Rhinolophus ferrumequinum: one gene and its partners. The protein of the gene in region 2 interacts with the protein of the main gene of each other region in a pairwise test. Links are inferred from orthologs where the notes say so. Each region holds a gene or a part of one and is shown on either strand. Other genes may lie near its edges. The genes, in order: PRKAB2, GRN, DLK1 and ARFGAP1.

Region 1 (7,488 bases), on a different chromosome or scaffold from region 2:
GTGAGAAAGAAGAGACAAGCTGAAGAAAAGTGTTTAAAATCCTATGTTTAGGGCCTGAAAGAAAAGTCCTGTAGGAAAACGCACATGGGGAGAAAATCAGGTATATTGTTTTTGCAAGGATTGCTTCAAGTGCTAGTAGAGCTGCCACAAGAAGGAAGAGCGGCAATGAACTACTGCGCGCAGACATGGTCGAATTCCAAACCGCAAGTAGATTTACAAATCTGCAGAGGCCACTGGGCAGGCTGTCGCCAGGGGACAGCATGCTCAGGTCACAGTGCCTCATGGTATGAACAGCCTGCATGATCAGGGAAGGTGGTACGTCGCCGAGTGCTTAGTGCTTGGGTGACACAGTCATTTAGCATCTGAACTTCACTGGGTGACTTTTCTTTAGACAAAGTGGGAGCTAATGGCAGGTGCCTAAACCTTTGTGGGCAAGTCAGAGGCAGGATCATTGCAGGTTCAGAGAGGTGGTTTTCTTCAATTGATTGTACTGGCGCAACTGTCCCCTGCCTCGGAGGAGGAGAGCGTTTTTATTCCACCCTGATATCCTTGCCAGGTGCTCTCCTAGTTTTTCCTTCCTTCCACTGCCGAACTTCTGCATCCATATTCTACCTGATATGCTCTAAAGTCTCAGCCTTTTCTCCCTCCTAAGCTCCCTGCACTGTAACTTCCGTCCTTGCTCCTGCAACCACTCTCTTCTGGAATGCTTTCTTTCTTTGCTTTCCTGGCAATGAAATACCCTATTTCAACTTTCCCTCTCTTCAGACGTTTGTCTAGCCACCTTCAGACTGAGCTGTCCCTAAGGATATCATTGAGCCTTTATGAAGGGTTAATTATGTACTTACACATAACGTTTTATACGTGTGAGTTTATTGAATCTTTGTGACACCTTCATGACGGGGACAGCGTTTCACCCAGTACCATAGGGTAACTGCATGCCTACCAACCTTTGGGCCGGCATCACATCCACAAGGGGGAGCTCTCAAATTCTGTCCTATCTTCTTTCTTCTAAACTGTAGTTCCATTTCAATAAATTCCTCTTTGACCTTCTTTCAGTTCCATTTCACCTGTTCTACCTCAAATTTACAGTCGCTCACCTTTTCCTGTCTGTTTTGGATTCTCCTAATCCGAGGAAGCCCTTCTAATCTCAATTAACTTGACCTGGCTTTCCTCTTACTACCTTTCTGTCCCGCTGTTCTTTCTTTCATTTTCAGAATAGAAAGGAAAACGAGGAGGTTATCAGGTAGCTTTCCGAATCCCACTCCTTCCACACAAGTATTGCTATTACCACTCTTCCCCTCTAAAAAGCCCTGTTAGCTCTTCAGATCTATACTTAGTGTCATCAGTCATTCCATTTGGCTCCATTGGGAGGGGGGTAAGTCATTCTCACCCCCTCCTTTCCAGATTCTGAATTAACATTGGGAAGTCCTGCACTGTGGACCCCACCACCACTGCCCTCATAAAACAATTGAGGGTCCCAAACTTCAGAATTTTGTGGTGGGTTCTCTCGTTCTGATAATATCCAAGTCCTCTGGATATGGATCTGCTGTCCTTGCGTCTCTGTATATATCCTTGTTTTCCACAGCACGCCTCTGCTACTGTAGGTGGTGCCTACAGATATTCTATACGCAATTTTTACACTCATTCCTATTTTATTCCTTCACTCTGATGGTCCCCTGACTTGTGACATATTCCTCTTTGTTCTCAGTTTATCTATATCTTCCACATCCTTCAAGCTCTCTTTTAACTACCCTCTTCTACATTTCTATTTAACAGTCTGAAACCACATGATTTGCCAAAAGTCATATATTCTTCTGTTTCATTTGTATCTATCCTATTTCCTCCGATAGATTACAAAGTCATAAAGGACAAAGTCTTATTTTCTTCTCTATTTTCCATAGGCTCCTAGTCTAATATTGATCCAATAACAGGTACTCAGAAAGCACTGCTAGATTGATTGATTGATTGATTGACTGACTGACTGTTGACAGCCACGGCTCCTGTCTTGTCTGCTTCAGGTATTTGGAGAGCCAACGCCACACCATTCAGACAGACTTTATAGATACCACGGTGGAACTTGCTGATCTGGTGGGCGTCAGACCCAACCTGCTGTCTCTGGCCTTCACCGACCCCAAGCTGGCATTACAGTTATTATTGGGACCCTACACTCCAATCCAGTATCGTCTACAGGGCCCGGGAAAGTGGGATGGAGCCCGAAAAGCCATCCTCACCATAGACGAGCGTATCAGGAAGCCTATGATGACCAGACAAGTTAAGAGCAGTGGTTCCATGATTTCAGCATTAACGATGGCCTGGTTCATGCTCGCTGTGGTTTTTTTTGCCATAATTATAACCTATTTTTAGCAGTTCCACTGTCGTTGCCCCGGTTTTCTTTGGGGAGCTGGATCGAGAGATGCCTCCAGGACAACTCTTAGCTTCACATTGCCCAGAAATCTACTTTTATTTCTCTTTCCAACGCATTAATCCTCTTTTCTCTTTTCCCTACAATGAAATCCCAGCTTTTCATTCAAAATGGATTAAAGACGAATCTAAGACCTGAAAGCATAAAACTCCTAGAAGAAAACATTGGGGATAAATTCCTTGACATCAGTCTTGGTGATGATTTTTTGGATTTGACACCAAAAACAAAGGCCAACAAAAGCAAAAATAAACAAGTGGGACTACATCAAACTAAAAAGGTTCTGCACAGCAAAGGAAACCATTATATGCCATTGGTTAAGAGATCTTGCTTCTTTGCCTAGACACTCCTATGTTTAAGGAAAAAACCCAAAAACTCGGTAGGTAGTAAGGAGAAGCAATCAATCCTTCCTACAGAATCAAGTTACTTGTGTCCTATGTCTAAACATGCAACACGCAGAGTTTACTGTGGACTGACTTCCAAGTGCTATTAGAGTCCAAGAATGTCATCGACAATCCCCTGACTAGAAAATGAACACTCTGAGAAGTCCTAAATTAAATTATAGCAGGCCCGAGGGTAGAAGAAAGAGACAAGAGAGGTTAATCAGTTAACAACTGCGGGGAAAATCATCGTAAGACTTGCTCGCATTCCTGAATGAATGTTACAACTCTGAGTTAACTTCCAGGTAGCTATTGCACAATTATCTAAAGAGAAGAGCCAGTAGCCCGCCACCAGCACAAGTGACCACCAGTGCCTCCATTACCTTGCTATGCATGACCTTTCCAGACTGTTGCCCACAACCGGTCCTCAAGAACAAACGCTTCTTCCTTACAGACTATGCACCTATCCCAGAACTAGGCCCTCTTCACTTTTTCCACACGCCCTTTATCCATAGCCAGTGCCAATTCTTTCAAAACAACTTTCGTCTTTGTTTTCTAAACCCGAGATATGAAGGATCCGTCAATGCCAGAAGTGCGTAGCCCTGCCGCTGCTGGTGCAGACAGCGCGCACCAGGACCCTGTCCTTTTCTGGCTGGCATCTGGTTCAATAAACGGTTTCTTTCAGAAAAGCTATTGGCCATGAAAGTTTTTTGTTTCCCACCCCCAAATCAGATAATCCAAAAATCATTTCTATTTAGTTTTACAAAAATAGTTTCTCTTCCTAACAAGTTTTCCATTGGCTAATATATATTGTGTATGCTTCTCCCCTGGTGATTTGACTACTGTAAGGAAATATGTACCAGAGACATATTATTTGGCCCGGAGAGACCAACCTGGAGTTAGAAAGCTGAATAGTACATTAGTTAAGGTTTAATGTGTTATTCCTTCAAAGGCCTTGATTCAGAGTCCTATGGAAAGAATGACAGGAATTGGGGAGGGCAGGGAGTTCACCAAAAGGAAGTAACCAGACAGTCAAGATTCTGTTTTTAGTCTGCAAACTGTCTTTGGTTAAGAGCCAGAAAACAACAGTTTATTTGGGGCTGAGCATAGATCAAAGGGGAAGGAGTGGATTTGTTGGACTTAAGTGGGTGGGTTTTCAACTTAATATAATAATGAACTTTTCAATAAATAGAGTGGCTCATTCCGGAAGGGTGGCTTTGATGGAGTTCGCCATCACCGGCTGTGTTTAAGCCTAAGTGGCATTCTTGTGAGAAATATAATAATCAGTATTCACGTACCCTTCAGTCCGCAAATGTGTATTAAAGTTCACTCTGTCCAAGGTGCATACAGAATACGAAGAGGAATCAAATGGAGTCCTCTCTGCCAGTGTCAACGCAGTGCTTCTTACACTTTACCAGGCACACACCTTCCTCTGAGGACCTTGTAAAGTGCAGATTCTTATTCTGTAGGATGGGGCCAGGTTTTGCACTTCTAACAAGTTCCCAGGTGATGCCTGTGCTGCCAGTCCCTGAAACACACGTTGAGTGCCAAGGATTTCGTGGAGGGAATGAGACATAGAATCGTAACACAAAGTAAGAATTGGTAAATGCCACTAACTGGTAAAGTTCCATTAATCATCAGTAAAAGCTGGGATTTGTCCCAAACCCAGGTCTGTCTTCCCCCTTTTCTGCCCTCAGAGTTCCTTCTGATGTTTTTGTTCCTGCACTCTTTCTTGAATTTCATTTCTTCCGGGTTCGTTAATTGATATGCCATTTCTTAGAATAGCTTTCTCCTCTTCAGAGTAACATTTTACTAATTTATCAAGGTTTATTTCGTAACCACTCCATCTTCCCTGGGGCCCCAGTCGCGGCTGACAGCTCCCTACACCACTTAATTTTAGCCTGGACCAATCCTTCTGCGTCAGTGGAAAGTCCGTTTTCCTATCCCCCCCGGACACCACCTCTCCGGGGCGACTGCCACAAAGACGCTGTCCAGAAAATGTTTTGGCGAAGCTGAGCCCAGGTGAGGGGGCCCGAGAAGAAAACCCCGCTCCTCGGGGTACAGAGCACCGGTGCCTGGCTGGCGGTCCCCAATGTCATTCGGGAACCGTGTGATCCGCGCGGCAGGCCCGGGAGCTCCGCGCACTGACGTTGCCCGGTGCAGTGTCGCCGGGCGGGCTGTCCGGGTGCAGCCAGTCCCCAGCGGACGGGCGGGAGCCCCCGCCGAGCACGGAAGGCCGCCCACGACCGCCTACCATGGAGGCGGCGGCGGCTAGAGAGGCCGGCGGGCCGGGCAGCTGCGCGGCGGGGCCGCAGGGAAGGCGCGCGGGGCGGGACCGCACAGCCGGCCTTGTAGCCATTTTAGGAGGAAACCCGGCTCCCTAGCTCCGCGCGTGGCTTCAATTTCAATAACTTTATTGGTGGCCTTAGCCGCAGAGCATCCATCGCGCCTGTGGCCCGGGGAGGAGGGAGCGCGTCTCAGGAGGTGATGGGGTGGGGGCGTGAGCGCTGGGATGCAGGGGAGTTCCCGAAAGCGGGTTTCCTGAGCAGCGGGCAGGGAGGGGGTTCGGGGCGCTCCTGGAGGCCGGGGAGGGAGGGCACCCACGGGCACGGCTTCCCTGCGGCGGGGATTCCGTTGCCCGTGTCCCCAGGCGCAGGGGTGGGGCTGCGCGCGCCCCTGACGTGGCCGCAGGGGTGTTCCTCGCACGGTGCTTTTCCCCACGGCAGGTGGCCCCCGACACGAGCTGCAGCCATGGGAAACACCACCAGCGACCGGGTGGCCGGGGAGCGCCACGGCGCCAAGGCAGCACGCGCTGAGGGCACCGGCGGCCATGGCCCGGGCAAGGAGCACAAGATCATGGTGGGCAGCACGGACGACCCCAGCGTCTTCAGTCTGCAGGACTCCAAGGTGGGCGTCCCTTCGCCCCCCGTGGGTGGCGATGCTGCAGTGGGCGGGGCGTCAGGGCGCCTCCTCACTTTCTTAATTCTTACCACGCTGATCTGGGTGATGACTTTTTGAATTAAAGGGATTTGGGGGGGACGGAGATGTTGGATGGTAATTCCTCTCGCGGTACTGCCTCAAAATAGGGCGGAAGCGGGGTTCTTGTTTGCCGATTAATCTGTTGGACACATTTTTAAGAGGATAGCAGGATGCCAGCCCCCCACCTCGCCTCCCAATCTTTGGTTCTCCTGACAGGCACGGTGCCCTCTTCTACCGTACTGATGAATTTGTAGTGTCAGCGCTGCCGGAAAACTTTAGAGGTTTCCTGAGTTGCCGCCCATAGCTGGTGGTTTCTCACATTTGCCCTGAGGTGGGTAAATGAGGTTCTTTTTTCTCTCTGTGTCAGTATCATTTTTGCCCTTGTAGGAGCTCAGCACTTCTGACCGTCTTCACCTTGGTCTTGACTGTGAGGAACAATCACTTGCTTATTTGAATACTTCCTCCTAGTCTTGTACATCCATAAAGGACATCGCTGCTCAGTTTTTGTCCCATACTTTATAGCTGTGGTGCTGAGGTTGTGCTTCTTTCGTGCCCAGCTGCTCAAGTGGCAGAACAAATCATTCCAGGATTTCTCCAGTAGCCAGTAGTACCTCAGTATGTCACCAGGGCTGAAAGCGGGACAACCCACGCTGCCCCAAAGACCTTGTGCTGGCGTCCAAGGACTCTGAGCGGAGTGGCAACTTGTGGGCACTCTGTAGAAAGGGCAAACTGAGCTGACAGCACTGTGATTACCACCCAAATGCTTTTCTTATCACTTTTAGAGCTACAGCATTAAGTACGTTAAGGCTGACTGGGATGAATTAGAAAAACGGAGAGATTGAGGAGACGAGTATGTTTGATGTCCCCTATGCCTTCCCACGAAGTAAATGGAGCATGATTTGCCACGTTGGCAGCTCATGGAATTTGGTTGTTTATTTTCTTGGATCTCGACTGAGAACATAATCAGAAGTGAGAGTGATCAAAAGGACCATTTCTTGGGGTTTCTTCTCCCTTCCTTTCTCCTCCCACTTCAGGACGTCTTCCTCATCATGAGGGCTGTCCACCCACCCAGTACTTCTTCAGGGCTTTCTCAAGGTGACCTCCCTCACTGCATTTTCCCCCTTTTCCTACACTGATGACTCAGGATTTAAGGACAGTGTATTTGTCAAACTGTGACTGCAGTAAGTGGTGTACTGAATACAAGCCAGATTGCTTTATTGGAAATGGAACCTATTTGGGATGATTCTTTGCCTTACCTCAGTCTTGCCATTTGTGAAATCAGAAAACTATTTCTGATTGTTCCTAAGGTCTCTTCCAAATCTAAAATTTTACAGTTCTCAACCTTCCTACTGTCTTTACTTCAATATCAATGTTTCACTTAAACATCTCAAACTGTAGTTCGAATTTTCTCTTTTCCGAATGATTTTGCTGACTATTTAACTTGACATAAACAGCCTTTCTGCTAGTCATCTGCCCGCATGCCGACCACAGAAATGTCACATGTGGAAGGGCTTTCTTCCAAACTAGGCATATTAATAGTTTGTAGCTTTCAAATTCTAAACCGGAAATCCTAAATCATAAAAGTAACTGGCAGTGGGGCCACCTTCTTCTGTTCCCAGTCCAATTTGCACATTAAAATCACCTGAAATTTGCTTAAACACTTTATGGATAAAAGGAAACATTTTCCATGTTTCAAACCAGGAAAACAGT
Region 2 (7,281 bases):
GTAGCCAGGAGAGCAGTGGGCATCGATCTGGCAGGGCCTGCCCAGACGCCTGCTCAGCACTGTGGGCCATTTGTCCTGGAAAGTGAGGAGAGGATAAATGGGAGGACCAGAGTCTGGTCCCCTCCTGTGGCCCGTTCCAGATGACCCTTTGGGAAATCCCAGCTGCCAGCTTTTGCCTAGGCTGAGGGTACTCACTAGAACGGGATTGCAGCAGCTGTAGCTGGCTCCTCCAGGGTCCAGGCAACAGGCCACAGGGCAGAGCTGTCCATCTGGGCACTGCTTTCCAGCCACCAGCCCTGCCACTAAGGCCACCCAGATCACCAGGGTCCACATGGTCCACCTGCAGAATATCAAGAGGCATTTGGCAACTAGCTTAGTCCCTGCCATCCCTGATTCTGGGGCCAGTCTCCTCCCAGGCCCAGGACTACGTGAGCCTCCCCACAACAACTTGTCCAGAGAGGAAGCAAGTTGTAGTTTCTGAGATTCAGTTTCCTACATGTGTCCTGCATGCGTGTCACACCTGCACCAGCGCATGTACACCCATGAGCATGAATGCTGACATGAGTACATATGAATCTGTGTCCCCAACATGGTCCAGCACTTGAGTCTCTGGGTGAGTGTGTAGACATGTGGGCATGTGAGAATCAGGAAGATTTGTGGCTTTTGTGGGTCTGATCTGTGGGAAATGAGGCCACCTCTGGGGGGGAGGGGAGGCCATCAGTAGCCATGGGAAGATGTAGCTGGGGTGCAGGGAGGGAGTACCGTCCTGAAGAAAAGTCAGGGTTCCACTTACCCAGCGAGCCCCTCCAGATGCCTCCTCATCTGATACTGTGCTCACACCTGCACTCTGCAAAGGCCTATTGGTGAGAGGTCACATGATGACATGGTAAACCACGGGGTTGTGAAAGTTGTGAAAAGGGAAGTGATGTGGCCAGTGGAGTCTAGGCTGCCTCTCCCAGAGGCCAGCCACAGCCTACCCACTGACTGTCCTGTCCTTACCCAGGGAAAGGGACACACAGGCTGGGTCGCACAGCCTTTAAGACGCCTGTGTTCTAATGGTCCCCCAACACCACCAGGCCCTTTTAGACGCCCAGCGTACCATACCCCTGCCTCGGCCTCTCTCCCTACCCTAGAGTTGAAACTCTGCTGCACAGGGAGAGAAACCACGAGTGCCCACCCAGCTGCTGCTCTGAGTCAGTAGAAAGAACTAGCCACGGTCTGTGGGAGGGGAGAGGTGGGGAGCGTGCAGCCTCTTGCTTCCTACACAACTCTTCCCCCATGATCAGCCAGCCCTGCTAGTTCAGTGGGGCAGGCCTGGGAGACATTACCCTCCCTGCCTAGAGGGGCAAAAACAGCAATGTTTGCTGAGCTTTTCAGGAGCCAGTTTAAACACTCTATATTTTCTTTCTTCTTTGCAACCACCAACCAAAGTAGTATTATTACCTTTACTTTTCAAAGGAGGAAACTGAGGCTCAGAGATGTTAAGCAATACACCAATTTTATATATCAAGTCATGGAGACAACAGGCTTTGACAGCTCCAGGGCATATTGGAACTGGGTTCATTTCACATGTGGCACTATGGACAGTGCATGGGAATGAACAAACCCTGGGAGGATAGAGGCCTGGGGTCCAAGCAGAGAAGGGGGACAGAAGTATTTCCTGGACAGGACAGAAATGGGAAGCACATGGGCTGCCTGGATACTGCACTTGGGTCCTAGACCTACAATTGCCACTGATTGTGAGTGCCTCAAAGTTTGCTCCCTGTCTCCGTGCCTCAGTTCCCACTGAGTGTGCATGGACAGTGCAAGCGCACTGCGTGGCAGGGCGTCACACACACAGTCGCTCACATCCTCTTTCCCTCACCTGCCCTCCCTCAGAGTCCCCTCCCTAGCACAAAGACCATTCCCAGGAGGCCACCTTCCGCCAGGTAAGGATGAAGAAGGCTGGCTCTAGACCTTGGTCCCTTTCAACTTCTCGGGGCCCACAGCTCCCAGGCATCTACAGCTGGCCCCACCCACTTCTTGGCTTAGGCCAGAAGGAGTGCCTGTCGGTACAGATCTCAGACTATTCAGCACCCTAGTTATTTATTTATGTTTATTTTCCTTTTGGGGTATCCTGAGGTTAGGGAGTATAGTGTACGCATCTACTGAACACACATGCGCACACACTCAGGACCAGGGATGGGGGAGGAGAGGGCCCAGTTCCTCTCAGGAGTGTTCTGAGCTATGGCCTCTCTCACCCCACGCCATCCACACGGCCACACCAGCGAGGGACAGGAGCCTCTTCAAGCCCCCAGCTCTGTCATCTTCCACTAGATGGCATCCCCCAACGCTGAGTGCCAGGAGGAGAGAGAGATTCCCAAAAGGTGAAACAATCCAACTACCAATGAGCAGGAAAACGTGGCTGGGAGAGGCGGAAGTTAGCTTGTCCCACCCTCAAGAGAGGAAGTAAGGGAGAGCCAGACACAACCCTCCCAAGTCCCTACTACCTTTGAGAAGGCCTGAGTCTCAAGTCTAAATCCCAGCCGTCTGAGCTCCTGGCCAGGGTGGGCGCCTCTCCCTCTACCAGACGCCGTGGGCACTACCCACCACCAGCAGCAGCACCAGCACCAGCTGATGGGGGGCGGAGGTCTTCAAGAACGGAGTGGTCCCTGCTTTGGGAAAAGGGGCTGCAGCTTCCGGGATGCTGGGATGTAGAGGGAGATTGCCCTTTTCTAAGGGGGTCACTGCCATTACTGCTTACTCCCACCCTTCATAAAACTCCCTCCCATACATCGCAAACCCCCAAAGGAGATTCTCTAAATGAATCTTCTGCCTCCCAGCTAAAACTCCAGAGGAACATCAAGTCCCCACGACCCCATGGCCAGGCCCTTGAAGAAGCAAGGGAGAGGTCTGCGCAGCCGACCTCCTTACCTGTGTCCCGTTTGGCGCTCGCTGGGTAGCAGCCACCCCACAGCTCCAGGACTTGGGCCTCGCAGCGCGATGGCCCGCCCACCTCAGTTTCCATTGGCCAGATGTCCGGGCTGTCGTCCTCCCATTCGCTACTTGTCGACGTAGGGGCCGGGCCATCCTGGAGTGCTGTGTTTTTGTACTCAGTACACTCACCTCCCAGCCTGACTCTCCCACCCTCCATTTCTAGGGATCATGTGATCGGAGAATCATGTGATGCCCTGGCTTGCTCAACCCGGCTTCGGGACCGGCCTCGCAGCCTCCTGCGGCCGCCTAGTAGAGTTTGCTGGAGACCGGGCAGCGTCTGTCTGGAGATATTGACAGCCAGGGGAGCTGCCCCTTCAAGGGTGCGTTCAAGGGCATTTAAAGGATGTCCGCTTCTGCATTTGGGACATTTGTGCGTCCTGTTTCTATTCTATTCAACAAATTCAGATTAAACTTTGAGGTTGAAGGAGAGTTGTAAGGGTACCAGGATAAACAGCCCTCCGGCCCTTTCCTCAAGGTGCTCACAGCGGAGGATGGGGTGGAGAAGGGAGACAGACTCAGATTAAATCTAATTTAAGGTACAACGTCGTGTGCCAAATGCTGTAGATGGGTATAGGGAAGAAGTAGTAGGTTAGCTCTAGGTGGGAAGAAGAGATTTAATCCTACCTTGGGGGCAAATTTTTGAACTGAGTCTGGAAGGATTTTAACGTAGGTCGGAAGAGCTTGAAGAAATGGCTAGACAGGGGAAGCTGGGAAGAGCACTAGGAAACCAGATGGAAAGGGCAGCCTTGGGCAGGGATTGAATGCCAAGTTCAATGGAGTAGGCTTGAGGAGTTGCTGGGCGCCTGGCCCAAGGCTGGGCAGGGGATGAGTGCATAGTGGAAATGGCTTACTAGTTTCAGATGGTGCTGCCTTCCAGGAATTGACATGGCCGGTGAGGAGAGAAAACGTACTACATAGAATGGATTAGCCAGCAACAGAGCCAGACTGCTCAGTGTCAAAGGGCCTGGTCCAGGCAGAGATGGGTGATGGGAGATGCACCAGGAGAGAGGAGAGGCCCAGAGAAAACCTGGTGCTGGGACTTGGAGGAAGGAATGGAGAGTGCTGCAGACTAGGGAAAGAGCTTGAGCTGAGTGTGAGGCTGGGATAGGAGCCAAATAGGAGTCTGGGTATGGAAGCATGGCAGGGTTGAGGAATTCTGTGGCAGCACTGCTCAGCTTCATGTTAGAGAGGGTCCAGACAGTGAGTAAGGCTCCTGCTGAGAATCTGGGACTATTCTGCACATTGGTACATTTGTGCATATTTTCCTTCCTGTGTATCCTGAGGCAAGGGGGTATAGCTTATGCTTCTATTGATAAAGTACATGCATGCACACACAATTTTTATGAAATGTTAGGCAAATCAATAAAGTAACCTATTAATCACAACTATACAGAACCAGAAGGAAAAAAAGACTAGAGTGACTAAAACAAGTCAGCCCTCTGTATCTGTGGGTTCCACATTCATGGGGTCAACCAACCAGGGATCAAAAATATTTGGAAAAAAAGGTTACATTGTTGCTGATGTGTACTATATCGTTAGGCCTATGATGGTTGCGTCTCTATTGAACATTTTTCTCTTGTTATTATTCCCTAAACAATACAGTATGGAACTATTTACATAGCATTTACATTGTATTAGGTATTATAAGTAATCTAGAGATGGTTTAAAGTGTGCAGGATGTGGACAGGTTATGTACAAAAACTGCCATTTTATATAAGGGACTTGAACATCCATGAATTTTGGTATCCATGGGGGGTTCTGGAACTTACCTCCTGCTTATACCAAGGGATGACTATATCACAAAATCTGTAAGGAAGTGATTTTCCCCACCAGGGACATTTGGCAGTGTGTGGGTACATTCTAGGTTGTCACAACGGGGGGGAAGTGCTATTGGCATCTAGTGCATAGAGACCAGGGATGCTGCTAACCATCCTACAAAGCGGAGGACAGACCTCACAACAGAGATTATTTTGCCCCAAATGTTGGCAGCGTAGAGGTTGAGAAACAGTCTCTAAAGGATCATAAACTTTCTCCGTGAAAGAGCTCAAAGTTTTCCTCACATAGAGCCTCTTTTCTCTTATTTCATGTATTTTAAATAAATGTTGTCATCTGACTTCCCAGCATCAAGATTATAGAAAGATCAGGGGATGTGTGCATGCTGTAGTTTCTAGAAGGAGTAACTTTGAGTTTCGCAAGGATTAAAAATGTTCAACAGGAAAAATTGCAAAAAGCAGACTGAAGAACTTCGAAGCCCAACATCCTAGGGACATTGCGTCTAGGGATAAACAGTCTTGGATGACTTAATGGGCCATATGGACATCACTCTTAAAGGACAGTAGTTAGTAGTCAAGGTATGAGCCTGAGCATTCACAGAAATTTGAATCATAGGCAGTTACTCTGATTGTTACAGCAAAGAAATGTAAAACATATTTATTAAATAGCTTGTCAAAATGAATGCAGTGAACCTCCACTTCAACGGAGAGGGTACAGTGGAGAGACATCAAGGACTGCAGAACTTCTCCCATATTCCTCAAAAAACACTCCAGTGCCCTTATGCCTTCCAATTCAGGAATCTCTCTCCCTCTGTCTTTCAACTTTAAGTAGAGAGGATCATTCTGTGAACAGGGAAGACGGAAAAGAAGCAAATTTCCAGAATCACAAAGTGATTTTACATAGAATAATCCATCCCCATTTGCCCCATTCCCTGACCTTCCCAGAGGCCTTTGGCTAGGCCTTGTTATTTTTAATTTTGATAAAATTAATTGACTATAAATGTGAGGGTTTATTTCCAGACTCTCAATTCTATTCCATTGATCTATATGCCTGTCCTTATGCCATTCATTATCACTGTCTTGATTACCATTGTTTTATAGCAAGTTTTGAAATCTTCAACTTCTGGGAAGTGGGAGTTCTTCAACTTCTGTTTAAGATTGTTTTGGCTTTTCTCAAATTTCTATGTGAATTTTAGGATCAGTTTCTGCAAAGAAGACAGCTGAGATTTTGATAAGGAACGCACTGAATCTGTAGATTAATTTGGGGTGTATTGCCGTCTTACTAAGTCTTCCTATCCATGAACATGGGATGTCTTTCCATTTATTTATTGGTTTCTTTTTTGACAGTTGCCAAGTATTCCACACTATAGATGTTACATAATTTACTTAACCATTCTCATTTAATAGACTTTCACGTTTCCAATTTTTTGCAGTTACAAATAATTATGCAATGAATATTTGTGAACATGTCTCTGAGTGCATATGTGGGGGTTAAATTCCTAAAAGTAACATTGCTGGGTACAGGGTATACACATTTGAAATGTTAATTACAAATTGCCTTAAAATTTTTCCACTTTACATTCTTAGTCACAGTATTTAGGGAAACTTATTTTCCATAATCTCATCAACATTGGATACACCACTTAAAATTTTTTTTGCCTATCTTATGACAGAAGGTATTTTCGGGTTGTTTTATCTGCATCTCCTTGACATCAGGGAAGCTGAGTATTTGTGCATATGCTTATGCTGTATATGTATTTCTTCTGTGAATTACCTGTTCTTAACTGTATTAGTCAGGGTTCTCCAGAGAAACAAAACGAATTGCTGTGTATATAGAAAGAGATCTATTAAAAAAAATTGGCTCACCTGATTATGGAAGCTAGTAAGTCCAAAACATGCAGTGTGAGCCAGCAGGCTGGAGACTCAGGAGAGTGAATGATGCAGATGAAATCCTAAGGTAGTCGCTAGAGAATTTCCTCTTGCTTGGAGAGGCCAGTCTTTTTGTTCTATGAAGGCCTTCAACTGATTGGAGATGGCCCACCCACATTGTGGTGGGCAATTCACTTTACCAACAATTTACCAATTTAAATATTAATCTTATCCATAAACACCCACCAAGTTGACAGATAAAACTATCTTATCATCCTTTGTTCATTTTTCTATAGTGTTTATATTTTTTTTGTTGAATTGTGAGAAGTCTTCATATATTCTAGATATTACCTATCTTGCAGATATTTCCTCCAATCTGTCATTTGTATTTTATCTTTGATTATGATAACTTTTGTGGTCAGAAGTTGTGTTATTGTTACATCATCTGAAATCTAGCAATCAATCTCTTCCCTCATGACTTCTGCCTTCTCCGCTTGCTTAAGCAATTTTAAATATGTTCTTCCTAGCTGCAGCCCCAGCTGGACTGGACCTCGGAGGCCAGCCCTTTGCTGGATTGAGGCACCAAAGTGACAGGAGGTCCCACTCAGGAGCCTGGCACGGAGAGGCCCCTGGATGTGTCTCTCTGGCTAAGTGGTTCATCCAG
Region 3 (7,938 bases), on a different chromosome or scaffold from region 2:
AGCCTCAGTTTCCCTACTGGGACCACTCATCTCCGCTAATGTTGGGGACTGAGGGTCAGGGACCCTGCAGCACTGCCTAGGCTGCTGGAGTTTTTTCGAGGACTTCAGTCTGCCTGGGCTTCCAGGCAGGTTTTGCCAAATGAGAATGGGCTCGGATGAACATTTGCAGCCTGAAAATGCAGCGACAGCCAACTCTCAATTGCTCAGGGTAAAGGAGGACAAAGATTGCATAAATTAATGAAATCAACAGCTAACACCAAACCGCACTTTAACCACTTCTCAGCCTTTCCCAGCCCCCAGCCTCCCCTGGCCCTGAGCTCTTCATCACAGCCCCCCGCCCGGTCCTCGTGGCCCTGGCTCAGCTCCTCCTACCCACCACTCGGCACTGACAGACCCCTCCCGCCCCCATTTATTTGTTGTTTGCTTGCTGCAGCCTCCTTAACAATCTTGCGTGTGAATCTGTTGGAGTCTTTGCTCTGTGACCCCCACCCCACCTCCGGCTCTCCTTTCCCCTCCTTGAGCTGCAGTAACCTGGACAGGTTATCCGGGTCTGTGTGCTCCATCCTCTCAGCTTTGTGTGGAATGTGTTTATTTTGTGACTCTTTATTCAACAGGCAGCTCCCTGCCACCCCTCCCAGTGCCTTCTCAGGTGCCGGGTGGGTGCTGGGTGCCAGTGGTGCAGAGGGGAGCAAAATTATGTCCCTACCTGTGAGGAGGCTCCAATCACCAGCGGGAAGTGTATAAACAGGTCATTACCACACAGGATGCACCCAGTGTGTGTTGGAATAAGGTTGGAGGGGAGGCAGCCACGGGGCTGGGGGGAGGAGGGCTGGGGCTGGGGCCAGAGGGCAGAGCTGGGGGTGGGCAAAGGCAGAGCATGTGCCAACCTATGTCGCAGAGGTTCCCGTCCCAGCCATCGTCGCAAATGCACTGCCAGGGTTCCACGCAGAGTCCGTTAACACAGCCAGGAAAGGTCATGCATTGGTCACAGAGGGGACCCTGCCAGCCAGGCTGGCACCTGCATGGGGGGGAGGGGAAAAAGATGGGAACATATGAGGGGGGGTAGGGGTGAAGAGGGAGCTCAGGCTGCTTTCTGTGGAACCAAGGGCCCATGGGGTCTTTGCACAGGGCTGGGCCAGTGAGTCCCAGGAAGCAAACAACAGTCACCTGAATGGAAAAGCTTAAACAGAGGACCAACTGAGGAGCAGACAGAGGGGTCCCTGAGAGCCCAGGATAATGCTGCGTTTTGCCGCAATGGCTTGCAGTGGTCTCATCCTGCAAGGGCTCTCCTGACACCCCACTTCTGAGAAAGCAGACGGGAGCTGTGCCCGTCCCCCCAACAATCCTCTGTCCTTTCTCCCCTTACTGTCTCCAGCAGTTTGCTGTGGGGGTGAGGAAGCTGTTGCAGCCCAGACCAAACGCCCCCTCTTTTCTGCCTGACACTGTGACTCCCCAGGATTCTGCCCTGGCCCCCTACAAGCTACCTCTGGGGAGCCGCTCCATTACCTGCAAACATTGTCATCCTCGCAGAATCCATTTTGGGGGTGGCAGGCCGGGAAGCATTCAGCTCCTGAGGCACAAAAAAGGTTACACCATTCACCCCACAAGGCCCCAGAGGCCAAAGCAAAGCCCAAGGCCTCCCTCAAGAGAGCCCACTACCCTCTGCAGTCCTACCAGCCTGTCACACAGTAGGCACTTCATATCAACCCACTCAGGAAAATTCTCTGCCACGTTCCTGGTTATGGAGTGACCACAGTACACTGCCTAGTTCTCAGAAGCAGGTCAGACACCTTGTTTTCCCCCCAAACAAAATACAAACCCCTGAGTCTTAAAATTAGGGATGAGGAAACAGTGGATGAAAAGATTTTGACCCCTGGGCACTCAGCCAAACCCTCACTTATGTTACGTGAGTTAAAGGGGAGCAGATTTCCAGGTATTCATCTCTGAGGAAGCCCGACAGGTTCACCTGGAGGCTCACAGGTAAGGTGTCTGGATGTTTTTTAAAGGTTCATCCCAGCTAAGCCAGACACCCAGGTCAAATTCCCCAACGTCCCTTACCCCGCACTTCGTATTTTAAAAACACGCAAAGGTTTTGCAGAGCTGACTGCAGTTCTGACACTATTTAAAGATTCTGACACTTCAAGAGGTGCCTACTGTGTGCATTTACTTCAACCTGCTGTCCAGCTTTCTAGACAGCCCCCCCATAACCAATGGTGCAGTGGGGACGGGGGCCACTGCAGGAAGGGGGCAATTCTCTGGCTGTCAGAGACAGATGGCCACTGCAGACAGAAGTGTCGCAGCCCCTCACCTAGAGAAACGTCACACAGAGAAGCTTGGGCTGGGCTCCTGGTTGGGAATATGGGACTACTAGGCAAAGTCACCCCCCACTGTCCCCAAAGACCTGTTCCCAAACGCGCACACATGAACACCCTAAAGTTGCACCCCAAAGCATTTTCACAGGACTCCCAGCATCACCTCCTTTCTCCATACCTCCTGTCTCAGCGCACCGACACCCCTCCGAGCGCCACTTCTGCGGGGCGGGAAGGGGCTGGGGATCCCACACCTCTGCTGCCCCCGGGACTCCCAGGGCCGGGCTTGGCATGCAAGGGTGGCGGGGAAGGTGAGGCGAGCACAGCGCAGGGCTTAGGGTTAGGTGGGACGGGCCGGATTGGGGCGCATGGGACGGGGCGCGCAGGTCACCAGGCGGCCAGGGGGGCGTCGCAGGCTTCCCCAGAGGGGGCGCGAGCCGGGCCGCCGAGGGGCTCACCATGGGCACTGTGGCCGAAGGCCAGCAGGAGCAAGAGGACGGGCAGGAGGACTGCGGTCGCGGTCATCTCGGGGCGGCCGGGGTCGCGGTCCCGGGAGCGGCGCGGGCGCGGGTCCGGCTCCGGGCGCCGCGCTGGGCTTCTGGTTGCGGACGCGAAAGGGGGCGCGGGCGCGCGGCGAGGGGAAAGCCAGGGCTGCACCGGGCTGCGCGCTGCGCTCTCCAATGCCGCCGCCGCCGAGCTGCTGCCGCCGCCGCGCGCGCCGCCCTTTTCGTACCGCGGCCCCCCCGCGGCCCCCGCCCCCCGCCCCCGCCTCCGCGCGCACGGGGCCGGCGCCGGCCAGTCCCGGTGACCCCCGCCCCTCGCAGGGCCACCCCCCACCACTGCAGTGTCCCGGAAACCCGCTCGCGCACGCGGCGCACTCTTGGCTAGACGGGCACAGGTACCCCGCGCGCGTTGAGCACACGGTCCCCACACAGGACGGCACACGGGCGCGCACAGTCGGGCCCGCTTAGCACAAGTCGCATGAACTGAACCTGGGCTGGGCCGCAGACCCCAGGACGGCGCAAGGACACGCTCGGAATACAGAAACACGCACAGAAACATCCAAACACTTGTCGCCAAGGTCCCGAGCACACATGCCATGGTTCGCACACCCAGAAAACCACACATGCACACTCTGAAGACGTAGAATCCGCACGTAATCACACACGCACCCAGAAAACCACTCGTGAAACCCTTATGCATGCAGACCCCTAGCCATAAAAACGCAGGAAAAACGCACACACTTGTAGCCACACACATCCAGCGACCCAGACACATCCTACGACACAAACACACACTGCAACACAAAAGCACGTTATAGAAAGAGTGGGGAGTGCTACCTGCTCAGTCATGGGCGCGCACAGAGGCCAGCGCACACGCAGTTATGAAACCCTGGGCATCTTTCAACATGTACCAGGCCATCCACACAGAGGCACGTGGAGAGCCGCGTGCCACCTGAACATGCGAACACACTTGTCAACATACAGATGCCCGAGCACATGTGGGCTCACAAACTCCCCGCACACGCCGGCACACACCGTCAGGGCCTTCGTCGTGTGTAACAAACCGCGGCTCTCACACGCACAACCACACATCTCATGTTCACAAGCACACACACAGTCCCCAGGACTTACAAACCGCAGGCTCTCGGTTATACGCTCATCAAAACACACTTAAACAGTCCCCCGACACACAAACACGCAGAATCACATCCATCACTGACATGTGTGGGCAAGCTCACAAGTAGTATGGTCCCTCTCCCACGCAAAGAGGCACACCACGCACTCCCCACAGATTCCAGACCCACAGGGAGGCCTCCATCCAGAGGTGGCAAGGGTGTGCAGTGCGGATGCTGGCCCTGAGGGAACCCCCCACCCTCCAAAGAGCTCCTGGGGGAAGCCCCAGCCTGGGCCGTAGAGCCTACACGCTTCTGGGCAGCCTCCCACACCCAGGTCCTGATGTGGGAGGTTCAGGAAACTGCTGGAAGGAGCTGCTAGGCAGTAGTGGGGGTTGGTGAAAGGTGATTAAAGGTGATTAAAGGTGTTTAACCTCCTGGGGATGAGTACCAGGAGGTCAGGACCTTTAGAGCGGTCATTTGTGTATGCTTCATTTGCATAGATTAGTTTGCATATAGATGCTCCCAGGTGCAGGGAGTGGGTGTTCACCCATTTCATGGTCTCCCCTTTCCCACTGTGCTGGTGGTGGTGGTGGGAAGCTCTGCAACTTTGAACCTGGATTGGGGGCCTTGACCTTTGGGCCATCCCACGGGCCCTGGAAGGTTTGAGGTCACACTTGCCGACCTGGGGATAGTGTGGGAAGTTAGGCCAGGGAGAGCCTCCAGGCGCCTGGCCCTAAGGCCCTACCTCTGGACTCCGGAAGGCACATGACTGGGGTGGAGACTGGAGCTGTTCCAGGCTGGCTCCGGGGAGGCTGGAGGGAAGTGCCCACCCCCTTGGGGAAGGCACCCTTCCCTGGTGTTCCCTGCAGAAGACCCAGAAAGAGAGGGGGATGTTGCGAATGGATTTGGTGATGGCTGGAGGGAGCAGTCCCAGTGGCTGTCCCCGACTGGGAGCCCACCCGATGCCTTTCCGTTACCCCCCCCACCCCCCGCCCGCCCCTCTTCCACGGACTCTTCTTAGGTGAAAAAACTGAGTCCAGAGAAGGAAGGCCTTTTGCCCAAGGCCCCAGACTACAATGAGAATGGCAGACAGGCCCAGGCCTGGAGGTCCAAGTGTCCACTGTATGGTGATCGCCATAGCTTCCTTCACTCTCCTCCTCTCTTCCCTTCAAGGACCCTGACCTCAGCCTCCAAAATTATCCTACACAGTGTGGCCGGCAGGTCGGGAAGGGCTGGATTCTCAGCCAGACACTAAGGAGGAGCAGGGGATCTCAGGGCTAAGCGGCCCAGGGTGACCACCCCCCTTCAGACCAAGTCATGAGGTGTGGTGTGGAGTGCACGGGCACCAAGGGAGGGCCGGGGGGCCATCGGTGCCCCCCCTGAACCCCTCCTTTGCCCAGCTGAGTCACTTCCCACCACCGCCTTGCCCAGTTTTGGAAAGGGAGAGGCCTGGGGAGGGCAGTCTCACCCCAGGGCGTCTCTGACCCAATGTCACAGGCTAGGCTGAAAGGGCTGGCTGGCACCTGCTTGCTAATCCCAGCTCCATCCCCTGAGTGCTGAGGGTCCTGGGCCAGTCATTTCCCCCTGAGCCCAGTTTCCGTGTGTATAAACAGGGATGCCACACCTGTCCCCAAAGGAAACTCGGTTTTCATAAGTAGAAAACCACTGTACTTACAAGGCCTGGCCCCTTCCTGCCCTTTCTCCAACAGCTGCTACCAGCCTCCGCCAGTCAGCCAGAGAGAGCTGAAGGAGGGGGCAGAAGCCTTCCAGAGCCCCCTGCAGGGCTGCTGAGGGGAGGGTGTCTTCCTTCTGGCAGGACCTGTAAGCTGGAGCTTTCTAGTTGGTTTGCTCTAGTGTCAAGAAAGCGTTTGTAAATTCAGGAGACTAGAGATTTCTTTTCAGCAAGCAGCCAAGAGAGAGCGTAGCTTAGAAGCCATGGGGAGGGGAGGTTGGTGACTGTCACAGACTTCAAGGCTGCACAGAAAGCATGAAAATACCAATCAGGTACCTTGGGGAGAAGTCAGCACCGTATGCTGTTTGCTAGCAGACCCTGGGGGCTGGGGAGTGCGGGGCTGGAGAAGTCAGGACAGCCGCTCCTCTCTCTGTGTATTCCCCCCCTCCCCTCTTCTCCCCTCTCCTCCCCTTTGCTGCACTCCCCTCCTCTCCTCTCCAAAGTACAAACCTCTGGGATCCCAGAGGAGGCAGGCAGCCCCCACCCACCACACAACATGGCATGGCAGGTGGTCTACACAGGTAGCAGGGACTAGGCCTGCCAACCATGGGGCTGGATTGGAATTCAGGCCTGGGCTTCCGCAGGTCTCCTTCCCTCCTCAGGCTCTGCCTGAGGCCCCAGCCCCACCAGCAGCCAGAAAGTGTCCTCTGTTCCTTCTGCCCAGAGCCCAGCTGGTTGGACAGCAAAGGAGCTGGTGATGGGTGAAAGTTTTCTGAGAGAACCAAAGAAATGTTATCTCCAGTCCCTTTCCCTCCCCTTCTCCAAACACATACACCACCCCCAGCCTGCACAAGACCACTTCTGATGCTGAGCAGGGAAGCCCAGCAGGGTCCAGCTGGAGGGGCCCCAGAGACCAGCTTTCCCTGGGCGTGCACCCGTGGGGCAGGGCAGCTGGGGGAGGTCTCAACTCCTCTTTGACATCCTGCTCTGCACCCCCACGACCAGTTGAGAGTCTCCAAGCCCCAGGCTTTGTTTCTGCCAAGACTGGGTCATGGTTTTGGAGGTAACGGCACCCCCACTGGACCAGTCCTAGTGGGGTGTCACACAGTCGGGGAAACAGGCCCAGCAAGGAGTCACAGGTGCATTCGTTCCCTCCTCCTCCTCCCTGCTCCATCCTCCCTCCAAGAGAGTACTCAGCTCCCCTGGCCCTGCCTGACATGCAGGACGCCTCCTGGAACTGGGCAGGACCAGCGCCCGAAGACTCATGCGGCCTGATCAGAGCCCTGGAACTGAAATTTCCTAGAGACACTGGGGCAGGGATCTCCCTGCCATGAGGCCACAGTCCCTAGGTTATGGGTTAATAAGAGAGTGGGGGCTGTCTTTTCTGCCTCTCCTGACTGCCCCTTGGATTTAGATTCCAGGTTAGTCCCACAGCAGGGGCCATCTCCTCAGGGCCTCCTCACAGCTGGGCTAGGTGGGGATTGCAAGGCCCATTTCAGAGATGAGCACATTGAGGCTTGAAGACCCCGAGACAAGGGTGCAGCTAATGAGGAGCACAACTGGAGTTCAAACCCCAGTCTACTGGGAACCCAAGCATCAAGCTGTCTGCTCAGCCAAGCCTAGCTTAAAAGTGAGCAGGGCAGGGAGGAGAGTGGAAAGGCCCGAAGGGTAGCGCCCGCCTCGATGGGGGGGCTCAGAGCGGCCCTCTTAGGGGCTGTGAGATTCACGCTAACACCTAAGAGATGTACAGCTGCCACGATGCCAGTTCTTTTCCCCAGCTAATGTTCACCTTTGGAGAGAAATTTTTGCTTTTTATTTTTTCTTTTGCGGAGGAGAGGGGTCTTAGGGCGGAGAAGAGAGGGAAACGAGGGGTGCACCCGGGTACATTTAGGCTCAAGAACACGAAGGTTTGCTTTCAAGTTCAATCAGAGAGAAGCCTCTTCAGCCTGAAGTGACGTGCTCAGCGGCTCCTGCGGGAGAACGTGGCGGCGGAGGCGCACACTCGGCTCCTGGCCTCGTGCGCGGGGCCTGGAGAGGCGCGTGACAGCCCAGGCCTGCTGTGTCCCCAAGCCTCCGACGCAGGTCTGCAAGTGACGGAGAAAGAACGGCTCCCCCAGGCCCAGCCACAAGCTCCGGGGAGGGAACAACAGAAGAAAGCGAGAACGAGGTGAGGCAGCAGCGCATTGGTTTGGGACCATATATAGTGTTGACTTCCGAGGGGTCGCACCCCGCCCCCAAACAAAACCAATTTCTCATCATCGATGGTAGGATTCAAAAATAGATTTGCTCGCTTCCTTCCTTGCCACTGGAATCGACGTGGATGTCAAGTTCACAGGTCT
Region 4 (7,098 bases), on a different chromosome or scaffold from region 2:
CTACGAAACACAGCTTCAGAGAAGAGAAGTTCTGTTAAGCTGCCTGGCATCGACAGGGCGAGGCCGCCGTCACCGCAGGCAGCGCTGGGGACCGCTGACGGAGGAAGGCTGTTCTCCACACCCCGAGAGCACCAAGAGCAGGTGGACGTTCCCAGGCCAAGGGCAATGCAACCATGCGGGGCAACATGGGTGTCCCCTTTGCTTAAGCATCACGCACCCCACAACTGCATAAGTTAGAGGGAGTCCTGTCCTCTAAAAAACTTTATTCACAGCAAGGATGGTCATTACTAAAACACACACAGATTGATTAGCCCCTAAAGGGCGACACACAGGCCTGGGCTGACAGCCTTCCAAGACAGGCAGCCACGTTCCCTGCACTGCACACCTGTCCTCCCATCCCTGCTGCGCTGTGGGGGGTGGCCCTGACGGACATGTGAGGAGCATGAAGAAAATGGCTGGCAGGAGGGAGAGAGGTGACAGATGGCCACAGTAGGGCAGATCTACCCCCACGCCTCACAGGGACACTGCTGGGCAACGGCAGTCACACAGCTTGGCCTGAAAAAGCCACTTATTTCTTTACATATGTCTCCTTGCTTTCGGAAAATTCAACCTCAACCTGTGGCCCACTGAATTCATGACCAGGAAAACCAAAATAAAAGATTCCAGCAGGAGGAAGGGGGTGGGAGCCAAGCACCATGTGGGCATCACCGCGGGTCGGGCCTGGGTTTCAGGCCACCTCTACCACCTCCAGCCCACAACCGGGTTTGTGGCCTTTCTGAAGTTTGCCCTTCACTCGACTGCGAATGGAATCTGTGAGCTGTGCCCTGTAACTCACATGGCACCACACGTCCTCTCGAGAACACTAGTCAGAGCTGTGTTCCTGCACTGCTGCCATCCCACACCACCACCTCTCTACCACTTCCCTGCTGCGCGGAAGGGAACTGCTCACACCGGCTTTCCTATCAGTGGTGCAGCTGGAGCTTCACGCTGAGGGGCGGGTAAAAACTAAAGGCAGCTCCGTCCTCTACTTCACCTTCAATCATAGGGACGCAGAAACACGTGATTCATTAAGGGATCCCGACTGTGCACACAACCAAGCCTAAACCTGGAGCCCAGGACTCGAATGTCCCTCAGTGCCCACTTCGAAGCCAGATGAAGTTAAGAAATAAACGTTTGTTTTCTGTATTTGATGGAAACAAACCAGAGCTCAACTGCGGCTCCTTTCTGCCCAGGAGTTCTCTGCACCGCATGTGATGGTCCCCAGAAACCCCCCGACCTCAGGGGCAAACGTGTGAATGCACCGTCCTGCCCAGCATGGCCGTTGGCCATGCCACCACTCTGGTGGAATGCTGTCACTCCACTGAGCGTGTATTCTTCCAAAGCACGAAAGGCAGAAGTGGGCAAACACACACATGGCGAGATGTCCTGGGGGGTGAGAATTTACAAAGCCCTTTGAACACACTGGTGTCACGGTAGCCACAGGAGCCCCTTGCGGGCATGTGTGTGGGGCTGACACGCACACCTGCCCGATACAGGTCTCTACACCTGGCTTCATAGAGCTGTGCCTGCCCTCAGAGGCTGACGTTTGGCCAACAGGACACAGGCACACAGAAGTCAGCACTGGGGTGAGCCTGCTCTGCATTTCTCAGCGTGGAAAACAGCAGAGTGAACATCTGCAGAACCACTACAGAGAAAAATATGTGAAAAGTGAATGACTTAGCTTGGATTTAAAAGGACACCCCCCTCCCCGCCCTCAGTCACTGGTTTTGGATGTCAGAATCGTCGAGTTCTCTGAAATGCTGTTTAATACAAGCAGCTCCTAACTTTCAAAAGTTTAAATATTGATTCATCTTGAAAAATGATCTAAAAACTCCTGTCTTAACACTTGAAAGCAAGATGGCACAATGTAGCTTTTTCTGCAAGGGGATATAACTTCAGCCAATGTTGGACTAAGTGAGGACACTCTGTCCTAGTTCATTAAGTAATCCACTTGTCAGGCTGCAGACTGTTTGGTCTTTCTCAACATCTGAGATTAGAAGAGATGACTAAAGCGCACTGCTCAGTCCCCAGGGCCGTTATACAGGTGACAGGCAGAAACAGGAGTCACCTTTCTCAGAAACCGAACGAGGCATCCAAAGCACTTGTCTCTAAGAACAACCCTTTCTCACACTAATAAGAGTATTTCTGAACTTCCTGGCGGTGTGGCCCTGGAAAGGGATGCCAAAACGAACCCAAGAGCCAGCTATTCCCGGGCCATTATTGCAGCCCCGTCGGGCACTGTCATAAACACAGGACACGGAATATTAGAGCCGCACAATTATTTCTCAAAATCGGTGGTTTGCCATGAAGTTGTTTAACAGGCCAGACAAAAAGCATATAGTCCTTCCACGTAAATCCACGTAAACGGAAAATGTGTAAGTCCTTTCCTGGTTTCTTCTCCCTCCCTCGAGACAATCACCCACCGCAAAGGGCGAGGAAAGGGAACGAAAGCACGCTGAGGCTGCCCTTTCCGGTGAGACGGACCCCTGCCCGCCCCCGCCCCCGCCCCCACACCTGCGGGAGGAACCCTCGCTTCTTAGGGCTGGAAGGCCCTTCATAGTCGGCCTGACCGGACCCTGTGTCCAGGCCAGGTGCTGGGTCCGAGGGAGGGGACAGGGCCGGGGCCGGCTCGGCCCACGCGGGGGGATGATGGGCAGGATGATGTGACTGGTGGAGAATTCCAGATGCTGAGGTGGGGGAGTGGGGGCAGCTCCAGAGGAGAAGGGTGGCCGGCTGAGGACGCGCGTAGGGTGGGGGCGTCCGCCGGGCCGGGCCGGCGGGCGGGCGGGCGCCAGGGGCCTCAGGCCGCGCGCTTACCTGGTGGGCGGGCTCGATCCTGCGCGCCGGGTCGGCCGTGTTCCGGAGGCTCGGGCGGGGTCCGGGCCAGGGTCGCGCAGCTCGCAGCACGGAGGACTCTAGCCCGCCGCCCACCCCGCCGCCACCAGCTTCCGGCTACGTTGCGCCTCCCAGGGCATCACGGGAAGCCGGGGGCTGCTGGCAGGGGCGGGACTTCCGCTCTGCAGGCCGGACCGGAAGCACCGCCCCCCCGTCGCCATGGGGACGCGTCCCGGCGCCGCGCAGCTGCCAGGTTGGCCCAGACGCCGACCGGGGCAGGAGGCCGGTGCTGACGGCCCTGGGGCCGGACTCCGGGTCCTCTTCGCGTCGCTTCGCCTCGTCGTGGTCGGCCCTGCGGATCCCCAATGCTGCTGCGCGGGGCTGGGTTAGCGACTGTGTCAGAACTGGAGGCCTGGGGACCGCCGGCCATCCTTAACGTGGACACGGAAGTGCGTCCACGCGCATCCTCAGGGTCTGTTCGAGAAACTGACGGCCTGTTCAAATTAGGATGATTCGAGGATGGTTTGTTTACACGGGAACTAGTTAGGAAGGTGTGCGTGGCTTTCGGGAAACCACAGGAATTCTGCCGGAGCAGCAGGGCTGTGACGTCAGGAGGCTCCGAGGGACGTGCGGAGGGAGGGGGCCGGTACCCAGGAAGGAGAGAGTCTTTAGGGCCTCTGCCCAGAGGAGCTGTCATCTTTGTCTGAGGGCATCTCCAGCCCACGGTGACCAGAAGGAGAAGCCACAAGAATAAGTACCTGGCCTCTCTGACCTCTCACCCTCCGCTCTCCCTATTTGCCTCCTGTTGGCGGAGCCCATTGGTGTCGTCGGGGGTGGAGAGGGTGGGGGGTGGGTATGGAGCGCAGCTGCAGAGAGAGAGAGAGAGAGAAATGAGGGGGTGGGGAGAGAGAGAAGGAACACATCACACAGGCGGGGCAATCCGGCTGTAAAGCAGTGTGAATAGCAGGATCCCAAACATGGGGAAATGACTGTACAAAGAGAATTGTTGAAAGTGATCTCTGAGGGGTATAATTGCAAGTGGTTGTCAGTTATTCCTTTGTGCTTTTCTGTATTCCACATACTTTTAGGGATCTGTGTAACTTGGGATGGTCCAGTATAAACATTTTTACGTTCCATAACTTGTACAGCTCAGAGAGTTTGGACAAACGCATGCCCAGTGTACCTCCACAACAATCAGCTACAGAACGTTTCCATCGGAGGCAACCACTGTTCTCATGTCTAGCCTCATACCTCAGTTTTGTCTGTTCTAGAACGTCACATAAATAAGACATGCGATATGTACTTAGGATGTCCTTCGGTTAACGTGATGGTTTTAAGATCCACCCATGTGGGTGTGTGCCTCTATTCTCAGTATTTCATATAAATGGAATCGTACAACATGTGACCTTTGGTGTCTGACTGTCACTCAGCATCATGTTTCCAGGGTTCATCCACATTGTAGCACGAATCAGTGCCTCATTCCTTTTTATTCCATTAAATGAAAATACCATTTCATTTATCCATTCATACAATGGTCACTGGACTCATTTCTAAGTTTTGGCTATTATGAATAAAGCTGCCCTGAAATCCATGTACATGTCTTTTTGTGGACATACTTTTTGTGTCTGTCACTTAATTACTTAGAAGTAAAATTGCTGGGTGATGGGGTAGGTGTGTGTTGAACCTTATAAGCAACTGACAGCCTTCCAAAATGCTTGTATTATTCTGTATTTCCACCAGCAGTCTGAGGGTTCCAGTCGCTCCACATCTTTGTCAACACTTGGTGTTGTCAGTCTTTTTATTGCAGCCAGTCTCGTGGGTACCAAGTGGTATCTCATTGCAGTTTAATCTGCCTTCTCTCCATCACTGGTTGAGTGACGCCCTGAGTGCTTACCTTACTCCTCAGCACTTCCAGCCTGCCCTGGGCCCAGCTGAGCATAAGCACCCTCCTGCGTCCGGGGCCACCCCACGGGAAGAGTCACCAGTTCCTGCAATAAGAAGCCACTGGCACTCACAGAAATGGCGAGGGCTGAGATGGTTTGGACGAAGCACCAATAGGGTCTACACAGGCGGTAATATGAGACAACACAGATGTCGGTGTAGATTTCAGATCCTGTGGTTGTGCCTGTGTAGGCTCCACGGGTTCAGAAAGTGAGAGGCAAGTGCTGGATCAGTTAGTTACAGTGGGCTTCCTGGAGGAGGCAGGCTGAGAAGGATGAGGTGTTGAGAAGGAGAAGAGGAAAAGGGAAGGCATTCCTGGAAAGGGCACATTTGGCACCGACTACACCAAACAAGCAATGGAGGCTGGATTTCCAGTTTTCTGATCAGTTTTCTAAAAAGTCAACCTTCCACCCACCCCAGGCTATGGGAGGGCTGGGGCTATGTTCACCTCCAGAGCCAAGACTAGAGGGGTGGCCCTTCCAAGGACATGGCGAGCCCACTGCTTCAGAGCCTGTGCGGCAGCCTCTGCCTCGCTCTGTGGTCTCAGGCTCAATCAGTGACCACGTGACAGAGAAGATGAGACACTCACGCACAAGGGCAGAGTGTGGGCCATGCAGCGAGAGGGCGGGCAAGCATACTGAAAGCATTTTATTACTCCATCAAAACACGGAGATCATTTGTTTTACTCTCAGAACTGCCAGCAGCCCATTACTTTTCAGTTATATGTAATGTGATCATCTTGGTGGTTTCCTCCCCAGGGATCCCGAAGTTCTCAATGTGATTAAAACAGAAGGGAATTCACGGGCAGCAAAATGAAAGCCTCAGTGTCAATGGTTGCACAGAGCTGGAGGGCTCCTGGCATTAGCCGGGCCTCACAAGAGGAACAGGAACGAAGCCACTGCCAGCCAGGCATGAGAGCAGGTGGTCTGTGAAGTCGCTGTGGGGCCTGGGCAAAAGCGTTACTTTTTCCCGGACTCAGTTTCCACATCTGTGAAAGGAGGTCTCCAACTCCCCTTTCAGGCCAGGGGCCACATGTCCTGAGCACTTGCCAAAAGTCAGTCCCTGGGCTCGATAAGGACGACCTCCTTTAAGCCACACAGCAAACCTGTGTACTCTTTCTGAGACGAACCCACTGTTCAAGGGAAGACACTGGGGCCCACAGCAATGAAGTAATTTGCCCAAGGTCAAAAAGCTAGTAAGTATGGAGCCAAGGTTTGCACCCAGCTTCTGCTCCATCCTCAGAGCAGGAAGGCGAGTGGACTTCGGGCCTGGTGGGGTGGCCCATCCTGCCCTCTGATCCGAAACCCAGCCCCAGTCTCAGAGGCAGAACCACGGTGGTTTGTTTCCAAACTTGTGCAAGTAACAGAGAAATTGGTTGTGGGGCTGTGAGCGCTGGTTGTCAGTGGCCCCGTGGGGGCCCTACAGCCTGGTCAGCAGGTCTAGGGGGTCCACCAGCTCTGGTAGGGGTGGCAGAGCCTGAAGAAACAGTTGGGGCCACACAGGGCTGGACCTGCCAGTCTGGTTTTCCCACGTCAACATACAGACTGTGGCACTTTTTACACCCTGCTCCAAGGAACTCTTCTTCCCTTGTCAGCCTTCAGCCTGCAGGTGCACATTGTAATTTCTCTAACTGCGCCTTCCGTTGTCATCACTGTTACCATTCTTGCTACTATGTTGCCTCACCCCCAGGTTGTGCAATGATCTCTCTGTGCTCAAGTGCTTCATGGCGTAGGCCCCCAGAAGTGGAAGCTCTGGGTGAATTCTGGCAGATCCTCCCAAATTGTCCCCAAGGCCTTGGTCCCAAAGCACTGATGTGAGCGTGGCTCTTCTTACGACTTCTGCCAGGCCGGGCATCATCAAGCTGCTTGTCTTTGCCATGCCAGCAGCACGTGTGAGTTTTCATTTTCTTAATGGTGGCGGGGCCAGGCACAGGTGTACTAGGCAGCGTCCATCCCCTCCTGATTCCTGTTTGTCCTCTGCCCGTTTGTGTCTTCTGTTGATCACCTTCCACTGCAGGTCCTTCCTGAAACAGCATTGCCCCACATCTGGAGACCAGAGCATGGGCTTGGTTCGGGTCTGCCCAGCTGAGATGCCCACCTCCTGGCCCCTGGCATGCTGAGTGCTCAGACACAGCCCCACGTAGAGAGGGCCTGCTGGCCCCTCTGCTGCTGCCTCTGACTGATGCACAGGGAGAATGGGAGACTGTGACAGAAGGAAATGACAAATGGGAGGAGGCTGGGACGTGTGACCCTGCTCATTTGAGAGGCTGTGTGCCCTACAGCA

The links.
Region 1: the proteins of GRN (region 2) and PRKAB2 interact in binary tests that used the Homo sapiens proteins (3 or more experiments, as listed by UniProt). The link is inferred for Rhinolophus ferrumequinum from reciprocal best matches to the Homo sapiens genes GRN and PRKAB2.
Region 3: the proteins of GRN (region 2) and DLK1 interact in binary tests that used the Homo sapiens proteins (3 or more experiments, as listed by UniProt). The link is inferred for Rhinolophus ferrumequinum from reciprocal best matches to the Homo sapiens genes GRN and DLK1.
Region 4: the proteins of GRN (region 2) and ARFGAP1 interact in binary tests that used the Homo sapiens proteins (3 or more experiments, as listed by UniProt). The two-hybrid records come from large-scale screens. The link is inferred for Rhinolophus ferrumequinum from reciprocal best matches to the Homo sapiens genes GRN and ARFGAP1.

Annotation. Positions count from the first base shown.
Region 1 is NC_046305.1:49,426,679-49,434,166, reverse strand, and holds the start of PRKAB2 (5'-AMP-activated protein kinase subunit beta-2), read left to right. Parts: upstream 1-4,485; 5' UTR 4,486-4,821; intron 4,822-5,153; exon of another isoform or gene 5,154-5,283; intron 5,284-5,525; 5' UTR 5,526-5,550; coding exon 5,551-5,706; intron 5,707-7,488. UniProt on the Homo sapiens protein: Non-catalytic subunit of AMP-activated protein kinase (AMPK), an energy sensor protein kinase that plays a key role in regulating cellular energy metabolism.
Region 2 is NC_046304.1:39,390,779-39,398,059, reverse strand, and holds the start of GRN (progranulin), read right to left. Parts: upstream 3,011-7,281; 5' UTR 2,914-3,010; intron 2,652-2,913; exon of another isoform or gene 2,490-2,651; intron 858-2,489; 5' UTR 823-857; coding exon 794-822; intron 341-793; coding exon 196-340; intron 76-195; coding exon 1-75. UniProt on the Homo sapiens protein: Secreted protein that acts as a key regulator of lysosomal function and as a growth factor involved in inflammation, wound healing and cell proliferation. Regulates protein trafficking to lysosomes, and also the activity of lysosomal enzymes.
Region 3 is NC_046289.1:3,794,121-3,802,058, forward strand, and holds the start of DLK1 (protein delta homolog 1), read right to left. Parts: upstream 3,003-7,938; 5' UTR 2,835-3,002; coding exon 2,768-2,834; intron 1,571-2,767; coding exon 1,507-1,570; intron 1,019-1,506; coding exon 888-1,018; intron 1-887. UniProt on the Homo sapiens protein: May have a role in neuroendocrine differentiation.
Region 4 is NC_046306.1:655,947-663,044, forward strand, and holds the start of ARFGAP1 (ADP-ribosylation factor GTPase-activating protein 1), read right to left. Parts: upstream 3,001-7,098; 5' UTR 2,857-3,000; intron 1-2,856. UniProt on the Homo sapiens protein: GTPase-activating protein (GAP) for the ADP ribosylation factor 1 (ARF1). Involved in membrane trafficking and /or vesicle transport.